Linked DNA regions of Drosophila melanogaster. The protein of the gene in region 1 interacts with the protein of each later gene in a biochemical or structural test. Each region holds a gene or a part of one and is shown in the gene's direction. Other genes may lie near its edges.

What was found. Proteins that work in one complex are often made in the same cells at the same time.
Region 2: the proteins of tub (region 1) and Myd88 form a complex in vitro, tested with the Drosophila melanogaster proteins (one study listed by BioGRID).

The regions. Positions count from the first base shown.
Region 1 is NT_033777.3:4,386,087-4,390,674, forward strand, and holds tub (tube), read left to right. Parts: upstream 1-1,655; 5' UTR 1,656-1,843; coding exon 1,844-2,306; intron 2,307-2,372; coding exon 2,373-3,298; 3' UTR 3,299-3,727; downstream 3,728-4,588. Other genes in the region: Cont (contactin), read left to right, coding at 1-132, 194-327, 383-676; CG14646 (uncharacterized protein), read left to right, coding at 4,340-4,588. UniProt on the Drosophila melanogaster protein: Plays an essential role in the Tl receptor signaling pathway that establishes embryonic dorsoventral polarity; the signal directs import of dl into ventral and ventrolateral nuclei, thereby establishing dorsoventral polarity.
Region 2 is NT_033778.4:9,302,365-9,310,632, reverse strand, and holds Myd88 (Myd88), read left to right. Parts: upstream 1-1,910; 5' UTR 1,911-2,838; coding exon 2,839-3,364; intron 3,365-4,876; coding exon 4,877-5,166; intron 5,167-5,230; coding exon 5,231-5,399; intron 5,400-5,472; coding exon 5,473-5,659; intron 5,660-6,297; coding exon 6,298-6,739; 3' UTR 6,740-7,810; downstream 7,811-8,268.

The DNA.
Region 1 (4,588 bases):
CGGTATACTACCTGTCACGTACTACAAGGAATTGGGCGCTTATCGTAGGTCTACAACCAGATACTTACTACTTTGTTAAAGTCATGGCTTACAATGCTGCAGGTGAAGGACCTGAAAGCGAACGCTTTGAAGGTGTGTAACGAACAGTTTAAAAAACCATTTAAAGAAAATGCTTAAACACCATGCTTTTTAGAACGAACATATAGAAAGGCCCCGCAAAAGCCGCCATCTTCGGTTCACGTGTATGGAATAAACCCGTCTACCGTGCGGGTTGTTTGGAGATATGTTTCACCTTCGCAAGACGAGGAACCAGTAGAGGGTTATAAGGTACAACTCCCGGCACCGTGACCAAGAAAATCGATTACAGTTTGAAACTTTCTAGGTTCGCATTTGGGAATCGGACCAGAACATGATTACGGCCAACAATACCATAGTGCCAATCGGACAGAAACTGGAGTCGTACATCAACAATCTGACGCCAGGGAAGAGTTACAACATGCGAGTCCTCGCATACAGCAATGGAGGAGACGGTCGCATGTCCAGTCCAACTTTACACTTCCAGATGGGCAAGACCACGCGCAACGGCGCAAATACCCGACATGGCCACAATATCAATACGGCTCTTATCTTAAGCACATTGCTACTCATTAGCACCTTTCTTTACACAAGCCAATGAATGCAGCACAAATTAAGATCCATAACTTTAGGCAGTAAGAACATACATATACTAAGAAGTGACCTTATATTTGAGTAAGTGAAGTTATAAAAAGAACTACATTCCATCCGTGCTCTCTTGCAAGCCCCTTAATTGATACAAATGCAATTCCGTCCATTTTATAGACTTTTATCAAAAAATAATTTCTAAAATTTTATCAACAAAATAAATATGAATACCATTATATGGTCCAGTATGTTGCTGAACTAAAAATAACAATATCCCTATTTTTTTACTTGGAATAATGAATTATGAATTAATTATGAACGTGTGCCCCGGTTGGCCATATTTATGTCCCTTTTTGTTCACCTGGTAATACTACTCCTGCATTTTATACCCGATACTCGTGAAGTAAAAGGGTATACCAGACTAGTTAAAAAATATGTAGCAGGTAGAAGAGGTCTTGATCAGGATCGATCTGGCCATGTCCGTCCCTATGGACGTCGAGATCTCAGAAACTATCACAAATCAAAATTAATTATTGTCCAAAAATATCAAAAAGAACTAAGAACTAAGTGTTTATTTTTGGTTTTTCGATTATTTATTTTGCTGCTATTTCATCGCCCGCGTAAAACGGGCGGACATGGCTATATCGACTTGTCTGTTTTTACTGATTAAGAATATTTAATACTTATATATATGTATACGTAAATGTCTATTCGAATTTCCTTTCTACCAGGTACCCGGTATTCTTCTACAATTACAAACGAAAGCCATCTATCGGTGGGGTTACATTTATTGCTCACAACGCCGGAATATGTCATTAATGAAAAAAAAAGTTTGGTTTTTTCTTACTTTGCGTTAAAAATTAGTGCAGTATTGCAAATGGCTAGCTATTTTCCGCATACGGAAATACCACACAATACCAATCGGCTTCGGGAATCCCCCTAATATTACATGACGAATCTAATATGGTGCTGCGGTCCTCCTCGGTCACACTGAAATACTGCGAGCAGCGAGCAGTAGCTGTGGGCATTGGCAAAAACATAGAGAGAGAAGATAGATGCAAACATGGTTTTATAGCGGAAATCTCATACAATCGCACTGGACATCTGGGAACTTGAACCATCGACCTGCCACAGGCAAAGGCTTTCCCGTAAGGTTATCCTGGGTAGCTAAGGGAACACCATGGCGTATGGCTGGAACGGATGCGGAATGGGCGTGCAGGTGAACGGAAGCAACGGCGCCATAGGTTTATCCTCGAAGTATTCTCGCAACACGGAGCTGCGACGCGTTGAGGACAATGACATTTACCGGCTTGCCAAAATACTAGATGAGAACTCATGCTGGCGCAAATTGATGTCGATCATACCCAAGGGCATGGATGTGCAGGCCTGCAGCGGAGCCGGATGCTTGAATTTTCCGGCGGAAATCAAAAAGGGATTTAAGTACACTGCGCAGGACGTGTTCCAGATTGACGAGGCTGCAAACCGACTACCGCCGGACCAAAGCAAGTCGCAGATGATGATCGACGAGTGGAAGACCTCTGGCAAGCTCAACGAGCGGCCCACGGTTGGGGTATTGCTCCAACTTCTGGTGCAGGCAGAGCTCTTCAGTGCGGCAGACTTTGTGGCACTAGACTTCCTAAATGGCAAGTATGACTATGTTTGCCTTAAACTGACAAAACTAAAAAAAGTGTATCCACTGACTTCTCTAGAGTCCACCCCTGCCCGGCCTGTTGACGGTCCCGGTGCGCTCATAAGCCTTGAGCTGCTGGAAGAGGAAATGGAAGTGGACAACGAGGGGCTGAGCCTCAAATACCAGTCAAGCACTGCCACTCTTGGGGCAGACGCTCAAGGTAGCGTTGGCCTGAACCTGGACAACTTTGAAAAAGACATTGTGAGGCGGGACAAGAGTGTGCCCCAGCCGTCAGGAAACACCCCTCCCATAGCGCCACCTCGACGACAGCAAAGGAGTACTACTAACTCCAACTTTGCAACATTGACAGGCACCGGAACTACGTCGACGACCATCCCGAATGTGCCCAATCTGACAATTCTCAATCCCAGCGAACAAATTCAGGAGCCAGTGCTGCAGCCACGACCGATGAACATCCCCGATCTGTCTATACTCATTTCGAACTCTGGTGATTTGCGGGCAACTGTGTCGGACAACCCAAGCAACAGAACTAGCTCAACGGATCCGCCTAACATTCCGCGAATCACTCTTTTAATTGATAATTCTGGAGATGTAAACTCTCGACCAAATCACGCTCCAGCGAAAGCTTCAACGGCTACCACATCAACGGCGAGCTCAAACAACTTGCCAATGATAAGCGCCTTGAATATAAGTAAAGGCAGCAGGGAGACCTTGCGTCCTGAGAGCAGAAGCAGCTCCAGCAGCTTGAGCAAAGATGATGACGATGATAACGATGGTGAGGAGGATGGAGAGGAAGAGTACCCAGATGCCTTCTTGCCAAATCTGAGTAACTCAGAGCAGCAGAGCTCAAACAATGACTCCAGCCTGACAACGGTTACTGGCACCAGTGGTGATAACAGCTTTGAGCTAACCAACGACTCCAGCTCCACCTCAAACGACGATTACGCTTGCAACATTCCAGACTTGAGTGAGCTGCAGCAATAGATAAAAGCACCGACCATCGGCGGAGATGACATTCCGTTCGATAACTTATGCAACCCAGATGTATTCATTTGGCAGCTGGGTGTGGACCTTCTTATGTTATGCATGAGGTCCAACTAGAATCTAAGATTCAGTGCACGATTTGTTCATATCACGTCTGTAATCGTGACAGTACATGACAAGTACGGCAATATCAAATATTTCCGTTTCAAGAAAGCCATAACCCAATACCAAAATTTAACAAATTTTGTATACTTACGAAATACTCCTTCATTTTCTAGTATAAATTTCCTTAAACGCATAATGGGTTTCTGTGACAGTTTTGTCTTGGGACAAACTGCGATCTTATGACATTTTTCGTTATTAATTGATTGTTGCCTAAAATATTTCACAAGTACGATATAATGGCTAAATACAAATAAAATATTTTTGAAAACATTGTCTGTTTTTCTCGACGTTCATACTGATAATATACCACATGACCGCTTAAGTCAAAGCCTTTTTCAGGGCTGTAAGTTCAAGAGTTTAAGGCGACTGTTTTTTCTCGGTGAAAAAACTTTAGGTTTTTCAAATGAACGAATGCATTTTGTATGTAATTTTTGTACTATTTTATTTATGTGCACAGGTTAGTTTCGTTTAGTTACTAAATTAATACACTGTTGTCCGTTCCAAAATGTACACTTACCTTTCTCCTCGGATGACATGTCCATTGCCTTTTCCGTATAACTGCAAATTTTTGATTTTAATTGTTTTATTTTTGTTGTTCGAAACAGCAAACAGTATTACTCCACATTTGCTCTAATGCCCCGTGCCCGTGGCACGCAGAATAGTCGATCTTCAAACTGCTGACAATTAAAAATGTCTCGCACCTTGTTTTTATTTAAATTCTCATTTGCTATGGCGGGCGCGGTACGATATTGGTCCCGTGCTATCGCGTACCATTCATAATATCGATATCTTAAGAACAATAATCGGGAATTTGTTGGACACCTCTAGTGTTCGACGAAACCACTGAGCCAAACAAAATCCGAAATTATTCGCAACATGGACGAGTCGGAGCTGCTATTCAATCTGTTTTATATTCTGTTGTGCATGGTGATCATCTACCCGCCAGAGGAGTTCCAACGCCTGGGATTCACCATTGAACAGTTGTTCGCTCGGTTCCTGGGAGAAGAGTACCTGGACTTTGTAGGCTACCACCAGCGCCGTACTTCGCTGAATCTCTTCGTGCACTCCTGTCTGCCCTTCTCCTACTTTCTTATTCATAGGCTCAAGTTCTCCGTCTTCGCCACG
Region 2 (8,268 bases), on another chromosome or scaffold:
AATAAATATCTGATTTAAGAGCACATGTTTCAGGTAAATTACGTGATTTTATAGTTGGACAGTTTCAGCTTTTCCTTACAATTAGTTTTCTCTGTATACGAATTTATTTGTTTTTAAGCCATTTGGCGAGCAGGGAAGCGGAATTTCAATGGCGGGCAGGGCGAAAACAAATGGAAAGCTTTAAATTAGCTCAATAAATTGTAAACTTAAACATTTAATCTACTTAGAGCGGGTCGTTGTTAAATGCAATGCAAGTACATCTGGGACAAAGAATCACACACCTCATTCAGATTTGTAAGATACGCATTTTGGCCCAGAAAGCCATTCGAATTTGACCACAAATACACACAGGCTAAAACAGAGGCTAAAATAATCAAATTTGTCGCCAGGCAGTCACAAAGGATATTTAGTATATACAATCAAACAACAATATACTTAGTAATTGCATTTAACACATGGGGCAGAGCATATCCACTAGGTTTGCAAAATTGATTTAACTGCATGCTTAAACTAACGAAAGTAAAAAGGAGATTAACTGAATGAAGGAGGTAGGGGAGACCTAATTAAAAGAACACAACTAATGTCTATATTTATGGCTAGCTAAGTGTAAAAATGTAAGCTGAATTATTATACAAACAACTACAATCGAAGCAAGTAAATTGATGTAATTGAAATACTCGAAACGTTCTAGGGCGAAATACCAATGAATATTGAATAATGACACAGGTTAAACACAAACACGCAGCAAGCATAAATTAATGAATAACGAAATTATTTCTCGAGAAAAAAATCAAACTTTTTAGCCTTTGAACGAGAGACTTTTGGTGCCCAATCCAGTTTGAGCAATTATTTACAAGTGAAAAATGAACGAAATACAAAGAAAGACACACAAACCACACCACACACAGGCAGATGTATTGTAAATAGAGCCACAAACAAACCAAATGAGTAAATACCAAGTAGGTACATTAATAACTAATGATGGGGCTTATCCGAGTAAATCAACATTAAATAAATTAACAACGGAATTCAAACAAAAGCAGGTAACTTCAACTTCAACTTGTGTGCAAGGCATCAACTTTTACTGTTAATTGTTGCTGGCAATGCAAAACGCAACGCCGACCGAAAAACGAAAACTACAAAAATAAACCATGAAAAAGCAAAACAAATATATTTAAAATACATTTGAACGCCTTCAGCGTTTTATTCATCAAGCAAAGCAAGAAATGTTGAATCGAAAGAAAAAGTCAAACAAAGCCATAAAAGCGATAAATCAATTTGTGTCACCTGTGTAGTAAGTATATCTCAGTATTTGTAACTGAAAATGAAAAGCGTTGAGGTGCAGGCATCAACCACACAAAGAACAAACAAAATCAAATGAAAATAAACTGAATTTACAAGTGCTCTCTGACTATTATTTACGAGAGTGTGGTCCTTGGTTGGCATGTTCATTTCCCCACATTATCGTCTCAAATCAGTTGATTTCGGGGAAGCAATATTTCTCGGTAAAATGAGTAAGTATGTCTTGGACAGGTCGAAATGTAAAATATTCCTTTTTGAGGCACCATTAAAGGTACCATTCTCTGCATAACTGAAAGGAGTTAGATTGCCTACATCAGCCGGTCGAATAGGAGAGTGCGTTTTTACTCACTTTACTACTCTTCTTGCTTTTGCACTAGCAAGAAATCATTATCAATTATGCTTATGAATAATTAGGAATCCTACGGCAAGAACCAACGTTCCTAAATTATATTTAACCAACCGGAAATTAAGTCAACCACTCTTAGAGCGCCATCTGGTGAATGCTTTTGGAACCTATTAAAGTGTGGCCCGCGCACCAAAAATACCGCAACCGATAACTGGCCCCGATAAAGTACCAAACCTCGCCGATGACTGGCCACCCGAAAAGCTGTGACTCGCCAAGCTTTTGCCCATCGATCGCCACGAGCTTATCGGAATCGCGATCTGATCTGAAAAGTGGGAACGCAGCGCAGATAAATTAATTAGCAATTAGCCAGTGCAAACAGAGTGTTGTCAGCCGACTAGAAAAAGCAGCTGAGCTGATAGTTCCGCCTGTGGCCCCCGCGCTTTCGCCCTGCATCGGAACGAAACCAAAATAAACAAGCGAGTGAAAGGCGGTGGAGAAAGAGCGCGGGAGAGTGAGCGCGAAGAGTAGTCCGTTGGGGAGGAGGCGGAGGAGGAGCGGACAACGAGGCAGAAACAAAAGCACAAACGGCGGACAGAACCAGTCGAAACAAAACAACAAACCGGAGCGGACGCACTCGAAAAAAGCGAAACGAATTTATTTCTGTGCTTAGGGCGACACTGTGTGCGTGCGCCACTGATTGTGAGTGTGTGTGTTGTGTATATTTAAACAATATTCAAAAAATCATACGCCAGACGAATAAAAAACGCGACGAAAACGAAGGCGAAGATCTCCATCTCCTCTCGCAGCGGAGCAGACAGATAAATAAAAACAGAATCCGAGACAGCAACAACAACGCGACTGTGACGCGGCAAGGTGCTGGAGGTCACTCGGTCCATTTCGCACCGCACTGAAGTATAGAAGTTTAGCAGTAAAGCACCACCCCCTTCTAACCAGTTTCAGCTTCATCCGCCCGCAAAAAACAAAAAAAAAACAAGCACGCGCGATCGGAAAACTCGAAAAAATCTACAGAGCAGCACAACTCACGCGCTTCATCGTTTTATTGCTCGCCGCCCTCTCGACTGATAAACGTCAGTTGATAAATATATATCGCATCACATCGCATCCACACTAAAACAAATACGCCAGCAAACAAACACCAATTATTCCAATAAAGCCAGCGCCAAGTGCGAATGCGCCCTCGATTTGTATGCCATCAGCAGCACTCGGTGGCCCATTCCCACTACCAGCCCCACTCCCACTTCCATCACCATACCCACCGCCATCCCAATCCGCCCCATCACCATCACATTTACGGCGCCACTGACGTCAGTTATCGGCGTTATCGCACCGCTGGCATGGTGGTGGCCGAGGGAGTTATGGACTCCGGGTCGGGATCGGGCACGGGAACGGGCTTGGGGCACTTCAACGAGACCCCATTATCCGCACTGGGCATCGAGACCCGCACCCAGCTGTCCCGCATGCTGAACCGCAAGAAGGTGCTGCGATCCGAGGAGGGCTACCAGCGGGACTGGCGCGGCATCTCGGAGCTGGCCAAGCAGAAGGGATTCGTCGACGAGAACGCCAACAATCCCATGGATCTGGTGCTGATCAGCTGGAGCCAGCGGAGTCCCCAGACCGCCAAGGTGGGCCATCTGGAACACTTCCTGGGCATTATCGATCGGTGGGACGTCTGCGACGATATCCAGGAGAATCTGGGTAGGCATTAACTATTTTTTACTTATGGTAGTCGCTATCTATCTATAACTAAACTATGTCACTTGAGTTTTGAGTATCATTTGTTTTAGATTAGCTTTTAAATGATGGTCTGACGATTCGACTTTTACTTCAAAATGCCATCGTGACAGTGAAAATTTAGTTAAACGTCTAGACTAACTATGTATGTTTGACTGTTCTCGAGTTTGCGAAGTTGAAGAGGAATTTTAAATAATGTACTTATCAAATGATATGTACACAAATGTTGGAAATCGGAAAATGAACCATTAAATTTTACTTTAATGGCGAGCCACACTTATCAATTATTTTTGGCTGATCCATTTTTGGTTTTATGACCGGAAAAGCCGTTTCGAGTTTATAAAAATGGACGTGGTAATCTATATAATATAGGGAGTATATGCAGAAAGCGTACATATTTAACTTATCTATCGCACATTTATCTAAGTCAAACAAAGCTTATCGTCGGATACATAAAACTATTGAGTTATGATGAGTAGATACGTAATGACAGAAATAAAAGTCACCCACTTTCCCATGATTAATTTGTGTTTATTTCTATTTATTGTCAAATAAAACGCTTCGACTTACAAGATTTTTATTACCACATCCCGACAAATTGAAAAACACACAGCCATAAAGAAAAAATTCAAAACAATAATTTCTAAAAGCCGCAAACAACAGAACTTAAACTATAGAAAATGCCAATCAGTTAAGAACGAAATTTTCTTATTTATTTGCACAATGGGGATTCACCCAGCAAAAACTGTTGTCATTAATAAAAAACCTCGAACAGTCAATTTTGTTTAGGAGCAGATGTTGTATAGATATATTCGTTGTGACCAAAATGGTTCGATTTAAAAACAAATGAACGCACTCGGAAGTTGAATGCTTAAGGTATAAAAAAGCACACATAATTAAAATCGTATTAGGAATTTTTCAAAGGAAATGTTTGAATTCCTTTTCTAATGATCTTTCATTGGGTGTTTTAGAAATATTCCAATAAAACTAAAAATAACTAAAAAAGTAAATTTTTTATAAATGTGTCGTTGATGATAACTGCTTGAATCTAGAATTCACTACCTCTTACTAGAATGATCTTTTCTGCTGACAATATATTTGGAATAAAAAGATGGGGAGACAATGGCAGACATCTGAATGGATATATGCATACACTTATCTATTCATACATAATATTGAGTTACAAATCATAAATACTACCAATTTGTTATGAAAGCTTCATATATTAGCGACTGTGTGCAGAAACTCAGATAAACTTCACTATGCCATTCCTTTAAGCTCATTATATATCAACAAAGGGTTATATTTATTATTTAATAAACATAATTTAAGTAATTTGATTTTGACATTAACATGTATAAATTGTGTTGTTTACTTTACGAATGATGTGTTAAGAAAACTTTTTGTGCGGCCTTGTAGTTTTTAGCAATCATAATCCCTTTAGTAAAACTGTTTTAATTTTGCTCTCCTCAAAAGCCAAGGACACCCAGCGCTTCATCATGAAACAGGAGCAGCGACAGACTGCTCTCGTGGAGGCGTGTCCGCCGCCCCCCAGCGACTGCTTCGAGACCAACAACAACTACAGCAGCAGCAACAACATCACAGTGGGCCAAAGTGTGCAGATCCTCAGCGACGAGGACCAGAGATGTGTACAGATGGGCCAACCGCTGCCCAGATACAACGCATGTGTTCTGTACGCGGAGGCAGACATCGATCATGCCACCGAGATCATGAATAATCTAGAGTCTGAGCGATACAATCTCAGGGTGAGTGGGATGCGCTCGGTTGCTGTGTGTTGTATTAAATAACCATGGGATCGTTCTATTGCAGCTATTCCTGCGCCACCGCGACATGCTAATGGGCGTTCCGTTCGAGCATGTCCAGCTATCCCATTTCATGGCCACCCGCTGCAATCACCTGATCGTCGTGCTCACAGAGGAGTTTCTTCGGAGTCCGGAGAACACGTACCTCGTGAACTTCACCCAAAAGATCCAGATTGGTGAGTAGCTGATACGCATTTGTATCGCAGAGCCAGAGTCGCATTACAAGTTCAACGATCTGACTTTCCCCAGAGAATCACACTCGCAAGATCATACCGATTCTGTACAAAACGGACATGCACATACCCCAGACCCTGGGCATTTACACGCACATCAAGTACGCCGGGGACTCCAAGTTGTTCAACTTCTGGGACAAGTTGGCTCGTTCCCTACACGATCTGGATGCCTTTTCGATCTACTCCACGCGCCAGGTGCAGACGTAAGTGTTGCTACTTCCTGCGATATATGTATATGTATGTGTTCCAAAAATACTTGATACATTTTTAGGGGTATAAAATCTCAAGATAATGTAGATTGCTAGCCAACAGATAAATGAGGTTTGCAAACTGAATACGAATACATGAAGTAGTCTAGTCATCCCAATTTAAGAAGCTGTTTTAGAATACATTTTATTAGCTTAAGTTTTTGATTTTACTGTTCAATTATTGCTACTGCTGGTTGTAGGGGCTGCGAAATCGTTTCACAACATTCACATAAAATGTGCAAATGTATACCAACTGCTTGTAAACAAAATATATAAGCAAATATCACATGGCGTACGAGCGATCAACCTTAGAACAGCCTAGCAGGTATTTTTATTTAGTTTTGCTAAATTCAAAGAAGATACGTTTGTTTCAGAAAGATGAACTCATACGACTTTTAAAGTGCCCAGGAAGTAATACACTGCATATGAGTAATCAAATTTGAAACAAATTTATAAACAGGAAATAAATGTATTATATATCTGGGCGTAAGATTATATTGAAGCGAAATTAGTTTTGCTGTTAATTGTAAAACATGTTGGAATTTTATCACTCATATCATAAATTTGGCATTCTCTAAAATTTCTTTATGCAGTCCCTCGCCGGTGGAGGAATCGGCTCCCCGGGTGACCACTCCCAGCATTCGGATTCAGATCAACGACAAGGATGTCACTGATATGCCAAACTACAACAGCTGCAAAGTGCCGGAGGCGGAGACCACAATCGTTTCGGTTTCCGGTGACACCGGCTCACCCCTGCCGGAGCACAAGCCGAAGAAAAAGGATCGCTTCCTGCGCAGAATCACGCACAGCTTTGGAAAGACGGCGCGGAGCGATGGGGCCAGCGGCAAGACTCTGCGTCATGCCCACTCCGTCAGCACCATAAATGTCACGGAACGCGAGAGGACACTCAGTGCCAGCAGCTCCAACATCTCCACCACGTCGGAGAGCAAGAAGAGCTTCATCAAGTGGCAGCCGAACATCCTGAAGAAGGCCCTATTCTCGCGATCCAGCAGCAAGCTGCAGACGCCGGGCTGAGATCATAGTGTTAGGATAGCCATTCATTCGATTTCTCGATTCTTTGATTCCTTGTCGTGTGCCCAGTCTAGTTGTGGCCGCCCAGTCACCAATGTCGTCACCCTCCATGCCTAGTGATAATCTTTAGCCTAATCCTTATCAAGTCAACTAACTTAATATACTTAGACGCACTTGTTAACTTATATAAGACAACAACGAATAAAGACAATACCACATATCCGCACAAATGTATCACAAAAGCACACAGACTACCAAATACGACACGATATTGCTATATGCTCTATGTATATGACTCTGGACTTGATAAACAGACAAATTGGCAATTGCGTTGAGTGAGGTTAAATACGCGACACTGCTAATCGAAGTGCTCAATTAACTGTTAGTCACGCGTTCGATAAGTGACTTACTTAATTTAATTATCTCGCGCGCCGTTCTCGCAACTCAGACCCCATCTGAGAATGAGTAATGAGCATATATAACGCATACGTACATATGGCTGCATTGTGCGAGCAGTGCTTTATCATTTTGTAAACTGCTCAAGCCGTTTTAGACGATTGCTAGCAATAAGTAAACTGTTTGTTCTCGGTACCGCCATCGGCTGGTTGCCTCATGTGATTAGCTCTAGCCTAGCTGTTACCGATTGTTACTGATTGCTGTGAATGCGTGCCCATATGCCTGATGTGCACCTAAGCACACTCACTTGTTATAAAGCAAAGACTATCAATACGTCATCCATCATCACATCGTCTCTTTCAATGTATCTAGAGTCTATATAGTATTATATGTATCTCCGGACAGTGCGTTTCAAAACCATATAGAGTCGATCGACAACCATATATTATGTCCAACTTTTGTCAAGCGACAACGAATGTGGATAAAACGCAATATACATATGTTCCTCAATGTCGGGCATCGAACGCTCGAACTTCGACCTTCGCGACACGTGGCACTTGGCGGTCATGGTTATGAAACGCACTGTATCCATATCGGAAATAAGCTAGCTCCAGTTGAGCGGCAATAAACTGTTCAATGTTTGGCTCAATAATTTATTGTTGAATGTAGACAACCTTTAGTTCGTTCATGTTTAATAAACATTGCAGTTGATGTGTGAATCCCCGTATATGTATTTACATACAGTTGTTCGCGTACATATTGAGTGGAAATGTTTATCGACCAGTTCCGGTTAATCTACAAGACAGTTCGAATCGGTTTAAATTTTTTGTATTTTTTTTGTTTTATTTATTTTCGTTTTTTTATTGTTTAAATCGTTTAATGTTTTAATAATAGCTCCTCGCTCACATTCCTCACTTTATCGCAACCTGCGTTAATTTCGCTCTCTGTGTGTTACAATTTACACTGTGAACAAATATGTTTTTTTTTTAGCCTTACTGCTCCTTGCGACTTGAGCTTGTTCTTTAAACTTTGTTTTTTTTTTTTTGTCTTGTTTTGTTTTGTTTCGTTTCGTTACTTTTAATTGAATTTATGTTTTTGGGTTTTGTTTGGTTGCTTCTCTGCTCAATGTGTTTTGG